2 linked regions of the Kluyveromyces lactis genome follow. The protein of the gene in region 2 interacts with the protein of the main gene of each other region in a pairwise test. Links are inferred from orthologs where the notes say so. Each region holds a gene or a part of one and is shown on either strand. Other genes may lie near its edges.

Region 1 (4,311 bases), on a different chromosome or scaffold from region 2:
AGAGTGATGTAAAAATGATTAGAAATGGGATGCTAAGAGTGGATGAGTGTGACAGCAAAGAGTAGTGACCATTGTGACATTAGAACGGAAACTCCAGGTTGCTTTAAATCGAGAAAGAAGTTGTATCATAAAAGAGGTAGGTAGAGAAGAGAATAAAACAGAATAATGAGTTATTAAATAAAATACAAGGGTAGAATAATAAGTAGTGCAATAGTGAGAATAAAAGAGAGTAGTAAGTAGTAGAAGAGTAGGGAATAAGAGTAGTAGGAGTAATGAGAATGATAGTAGTGGATCAAAGGAAATTTGAACTGGTCGACTTCTTTATATTAAAAAGGATGAGGGAACTGGCGTCCATAGATCCAATGAACAGTGGTTGGAGTGAATAAACTGTCAAAGGCAGTGAATTATGCAAGTGAGTTGTCTGTGGAAGTCAGTGTATTGTTATTAATAGTAGGCAGGCAAACAAGAGCGAATGAAAAGAATCACAAGTTAGATTGCAACTTTTGTTGTTCTCTTGCCCACCTTGCTGTATCTCTAGTGTTTTGAGAAAAGGATTGATTGGTTTTCACGTCCTTTACAAACTTAATCATCCATGGTTGTGTATAGAATTGTTGGAGCCTTCCGTCTGGGTACATGGCAGCAATATCACCCACTATACCGACTGCTGTTCTTGCAATTGAATCTTCTAATGCAACACTTGGATTATCAGCCAATAAGTTGATAAATTGGAAAATTGAACCTGTGTAAGGAAACAATGCATCTGGTTGGTCGTGTAGCCCTGTTATTATTCCTACGTATGCGTCCAATATTGATTCGTATAATTTATATTGATAATCGAGGGCATCAGAAGAGCTATAATTCGGTTTATAGTTTTGAGCCATGACGCACACGGACATAACTTGGGACAAATACTGTATAAAATCTGATCCAATGTTGGTGGCAATATCACCAAAAACAGAAAGGACTGCAGGTTGTAATTCCTTCTTCGCATCTGGAGAAGAAAGCATTTGCCCAAGAACACTCATGAACGATGGAGCGAATTTCTTGAAGTCATCCTCTAAAGAGTTAGAGATATCAGCAATTAGATTGACGGCAGTGATAGAAACTTGGGACTGTACTTGATTTAACGCATTAACCAAATATGGGGAGAAACTTTCCAAATACTTTTCAAAGTTTTTACCCAACGCAGATGCTAGAGCAGAAATAGCGTAAAAGACATCATCTTCCACGTATGTTGTATCATTCTTGCTCAAAAGTTTCATAAATAGATCCATCAACATATCTGCTACTGGATTAACAGATTGTGGGTTCTTTCTAATCACTGCAGCCAAAACAGATAAAATGTTCGATTGTAATTCATGTAAGTTTTGTCTATCTTCAGCTGTTAATTGAGCTTCATCCACTTGCATTGTTTGTCCAAGTTTATCCAAAACAAAAGTGGAAATTGAGGTAGTAGTTTCCCCGACTTGGTCATTAGCGAACTCTACTAAAGTAGTCAAAGCAGAAAATACAGATGCTCTAGCATTATATTCATTGTCTGACCTGTTTGAAGCTTCAAGCAATGCGCTAACAAGAACTGGATAATAATTGTATATCGGAGAAGAAGGGGTATCAGCTAATTGTTCGACAAGGTTGATAATCGTCCAAGAACAATTGGTAGCCACTTTTGGATGGTCTTTTAACCCGATCAAACAAGCGTTTACAACATCAGAAAGATGGTCTTGAGGATCTATAGCAGCAACGACTGAGTCTGCAATTCTGCCGATGCACCATGCTACTGTTTCCTTCACTTGCAAAACTGGATCCGTTATTAGGTTGAGGATAGGTGGTAACGCTTGATGGACTAAACTAGTCAATTGAGTTTTGTCAGGACCGTCCAATATAGAACCAAAAGCCATCACAGCCGCTTCGCGTTGTCTCCAATTGTCACTGGTGATGTTCTGTTCAACGAAGTGCAAGACAGGTTCTACTACGTAGTTACCACAGTTTTGAGCGAATAGTTGCAAACAAGCACCAGCAGACATTGCCACGTTCCAATCATCATCATCCGGATCTTCATTTTGCTTTGTTAAAAGCTGTAATAGAGTTGGCACCACTTCTTGGATGGATACTAGAGCAAAATTGTAAGATTCCAAGCCTGGGTTGGAGTACTGTGACAGTTCAAAAGCAATATCAATTTCTTCTTCACAGATGGTAGACCAAAATTCAACGGCCATTGCTGCCACCTTTTCATTGGATGATTGTATAGTAGCCACGGTCAAAGCGAATAGAGCTTGTTCCATGTAAGGTTTCATGTAGAAATAGTATAGTGACATGATTTTACAAAGACAACCAAATGCGGCCGCTTGAATATCTTCATCCGAAGCCTGGGTAGCTTCACATACGACTTGCATCAAGTAATTTCTTTCACCCTCACGTTCCATATTATTCTTAATGAATGCAAGCGAGTCAGCCAATGCATTAAGCGCGGTAAGTCTGACAATCTTAGAAGTTTCGTTCGACTGTGCACCTTGAACGATAGCGATCAAAATGTTGTTCGATTGATTGATTAAAGTTTCATCACTTTGGTCTGCACTTTCACAGATATAACCCAATGTCAACAAGGAAGCTCTCTTAACATTTTCTGGTTGTTCTTGAGCGGTATTATCTACCATAATCTTCATCAACTCTGGCCATTGATTCAATGGCAATTCGATCTCTGCAATGGCAGCGATCAACTGAGCTGAAGCGTTGGCAACACGAGTCTCTGGATCAACCAACGCTTGTAACGCAAACTGCTTAATATGATGTCTAGACTCTGCATCGACTTGCGTAGACCAACGTTGAGCAAACTGCTGGGCCTTTGTTGGGTTCTTCGAAATCAATTCGTTCTTCAACGTCAAACCTGCTAGAATTCTAGCTTCAAGACGAACGGACACATCGGCCAAGATCTGAGACAAAAGTCCAGCGAATTGCAAGAAATTATCGTTAGATAATTTCTTCAACGTCGTCTCCGCTTGAAGACGGACCGTTGGGTCCGGAGTAATGATAATGTTTTCCAAAAACTGGGCAACCTCGGAAGCTGACATAACGATTTGTAAAGGGTATTATAACTTACTAGTGTTTCCAAATCCTAGCGGGTCGTTTCAATAGTCAGTCTCCAAAATTATAGAAATAAAACAAGGAACTGCAACAGCAAACGGCAAATAATAAATTTTCACACTTGGTTCACTTTATAAAAGTATCAGTATATCGAATAGCGACGTTAGATCTTCCTTTATTCTGTAATTATTCGGCGCCTACTAACGAGTTTCTGAGTATGAACTCTCGATCAAGTGTCTCACGAACCGTTCTCCCTTGCACAAGACACCTAAACGCAAGGATACAAAGTGAAATGTTTCCCTGTTTCTTGGATCCTAAGTTCTTTTGTTTACGAAATGTTTTCTAGTTGTTTTTGTTTGATAAATAGATGTGAAGGAAAGAAATTCTTTGAAGCTTGGGAATAAGCAAAAAATAAGAAAAAGCTGTGTAGCATCTTGTAAAGCGCGTTTGTGCTACGATTTGGAGTGGAATCAGATGGAAAGTAAAAGAGTCTGTTACCCGGATATATTGCCTAGAAAACAATGTATGAACCCCATAAATGAAGAGAAAAATAGGGATCGTGCTCCTGTTTAACGGAGGGTAACTTATATACTGCTAGGGAAGAAAGAATTTTTTGCCACTCAACTGCAAATAGCCGGGTAAATAGTTGGCGTTAGCTTGTTCACGTGACTTGTAATTCGTGTTTCAAACCGAGTAATAAGGGTATTATCATTAGCTATATGGATCAAGGATAATATATATGTAGATATAGATAGTTAGTTAGATGATGCAATAACTTGCGAGACCATCCAGCTCTATGGGGCGTATTTCTTGATCAATTGGTCAACCAATTCGATGTACTGTTGTTCGGCATCTTCTTGGGAAGTGCCCTTCAACAATTCCCAGGCGTCCCACTTGTAACGGTCCTTCAAGTTGAACATGCCTGGTTTTTCCTTGGTGTTGTCACCGACGGTTGCTTGCTTGTATAGAGCATACAATTTCAACAATTCATCGTTATTTGGAGTTGATGGCAATTCATTGACAGCTTTAGCCTGCAGATAAATGTAAGATGCGGTTAGTATGATTATTAAGGGAAATCAAAAGCCATTGCAACAACGATTCCACATACCTTTTCTTCGAATAATTGAGAAACCATTGTGTTTTGAGTGAGTGTCGATATCTGACGTATTGAACTAACACTTGTCTTTCACAAATCCTTCGTTTAGTACCATGTGTAAAGCTTCTCTTGAT
Region 2 (2,434 bases):
AAGAAGAAGAAGAAGAAGAAGAAGAAGAAGAAGAAGAAGAAGAAGAAGAAGAAGGAGAAGAAGAAGAAGAAAAGGAGGAGGGAGAGGAAGAGGAGAAGGAGCAGCAAGCGCAAGATGAAGAACAAGTGAAAGATGATACTAAAGATGTATCAAAGGAGAAAAAGCAAGAAGAAGACAAAGGAAATGATAAGCAGGTCAAAGGTGATCTGCTCACTGAAGGATCTTTCCCATCGGCGGAGAGCACAACCCCTGTTGCTGCGTCTTACGTTACTGAGGAAGATGACACCAGATCGTCTGTTGCTTCTTTTACCGATAGGATAAAGAAAGCGGCTAACCTCTCAACGGAGAATATTGCCAATCCATTCATGAAATCCACAGCAGTTGAAAACAAAGATTCCTCACCTTTTTCGGGCTTCACAAATTCCTTATCCAAAGATACAGGAAAGGCTCCCGCATTTTCCTTTGCCAATCTCAAGAAGGATGGTTCTGAAATTACCTCACCACTGTCTAATGTCAATTCTATTAGCAACGAAAGTGTTATGAGAGAGCCAGAACCAGAATTAAAACAGAAAACTGGTGATGAGCCGGACCCCGAAGTGGCAACTCCCTCTACTAACCTCGCAAGTTCAGAACAGAAAAAGGAAGCACTTTCAAAGGATCAAGAAATTGTACCATCTTCAACTGTCAGTCCAGAATCTGGTAGCGTCTCTTCTTCACCAGTTGTGGTAGATTATCCTCCAGTCAAAATGAGTAAATCATCCGGTACTACTACAAAAGAATATGTTTCACAGCATGTGCAAGCGAGTGTACCTGTAGGAAGCGCTTCCACTCAAAGTCTTACTAAAGAAAGTGCAGACTTTACTTTACAAGCCTTTGAAAATGATGAGCAATATATAGCTGAAAGGTATCTTCCTGAAATGCCTAGTGCTTTCTATTCCACTGCTGAACTTAAAGAATTCAGTACAATATCTTCCGATGAAGTTGTACAGGCCGTTGAAAAAACAAATGCTCAAGTTTTAGCAAACATTCAAGTGTTACGCTCAAATATCGACAACATTGGGAAGTTTATAGGTGACCATTCCCAAAATTTATTCAAACGTACTGAGAAAACTGTCCCAATTGTCTCCTCCTGGAGACTTGGTGAGGCGGCCACTCTTTTGGATATCCTTACTTCCAAGGCTAAACAAAGCTACGAATTGAAACAGTCTTACCAAAGGTTAGCAGATAGTTCTTCTGCGGTAACTAATTTCGACATGCTAATCACGACACTAAAACGCCAATATGACATTCTTGAACTCTCCAACAGGACATCTAATCATTCCAACAGGAAACTTTCTTGGAGTCAGCATCATATCTCAACTATGGTAAAGAGGAAACTTGAAGAAGTCTCCTCGAAACTGGATGAAATTAGAGAATCCATTCAAGTACTAAAGCTTTACAATCTTACAAATACCAAGGAAGCACTGCATGCTGTGCAGCAATTGTCATTAAACGGAGGCATTGGCAGAGAAAACTTGTTAACAGAGATTCAGTCGTTAAGAGAAGAAATTTCTGTGTTAAAATTGTCGGCAGAAAAACCAAACCAACTAGAACCTGAGAATCTATTAATTAACACAGCTTCTACATCGTTGCCCCTTCTCGAAACTACTTTGGAGTTATATACAAGGGCTCAATTAGGAGATTTTTTCTCATCTAAACTGTCTACGTAATGTGTAGAACGAAATGGTCCAGTTGAATACGCTAAATAATTGCTTGCATCCACCTTTTCAAACCTTAATTAAGCCATTATTAAAGCAAGATGTTTCCTGAACTCTTTAATTAGAACATCATTTTCTTGCTTAGTACCAATGGTGATTCTTAAACCACCTGCGCAGCCAGGCTCATTACCTCTATATCTTGTTATAACAGCTGATTCAACGGCAAGCCTTTCATATAGCTTCTTAGTCAAAGCGTTGTCTCCATTGTTGATGTTTAATAAGATGAAATTAGCGTCTAGGCCACCCAATTGGGAAACATATGGAGAAGAAGTCAACTCCTTCAACACTCTCAATTTTTCCTTTTTAACTGTGGCAGCATTCTCTTCCATCAATTTCAAGTTTTTTGGTTGTACTGCTTTCAAAGCAACTTCTGCAGTCGAGCAAGAAATATTATAAGGAGCCTTCATCGAATTCAAGACTCTTGACATAGCTTTAGATGTATACGTAACTCCTAGTCTGATTCCAGCTAGGCCAAATGACTTAGAAAGAGTTTGTAAAACAGCAATATTTTCGTACTTTGTTGCTAGCGGTGCCAAGGACCCCTTATCAGAACCCTCAACAAAATCGATGTATGCTTCATCTACAACAACAAGACCCGTTTGCCATTGTGATAGAATCTTTTCAATACGATTAACATCGATAAAGGTACCAGTTGGATTACCTGGTGAAGTAATGAA

Evidence for each region.
Region 1: the proteins of NUP159 (region 2) and KAP95 interact in binary tests that used the Saccharomyces cerevisiae proteins (3 or more experiments, as listed by UniProt). The link is inferred for Kluyveromyces lactis from reciprocal best matches to the Saccharomyces cerevisiae genes NUP159 and KAP95.

The regions. Positions count from the first base shown.
Region 1 is NC_006038.1:508,924-513,234, reverse strand, and holds KAP95 (karyopherin beta), read right to left. Parts: upstream 3,069-4,311; coding exon 483-3,068; downstream 1-482. Other genes in the region: long-chain fatty acid transporter ACB1, read right to left, coding at 3,876-4,112, 4,190-4,216. UniProt on the Saccharomyces cerevisiae protein: Importin beta subunit that functions in nuclear protein import through association with the importin alpha subunit, which binds to the classical nuclear localization signal (cNLS) in cargo substrates.
Region 2 is NC_006042.1:328,105-330,538, reverse strand, and holds the end of NUP159 (FG-nucleoporin NUP159), read left to right. Parts: coding exon 1-1,709; downstream 1,710-2,434. Other genes in the region: HIS5 (histidinol-phosphate transaminase), read right to left, coding at 1,778-2,434. UniProt on the Saccharomyces cerevisiae protein: Functions as a component of the nuclear pore complex (NPC).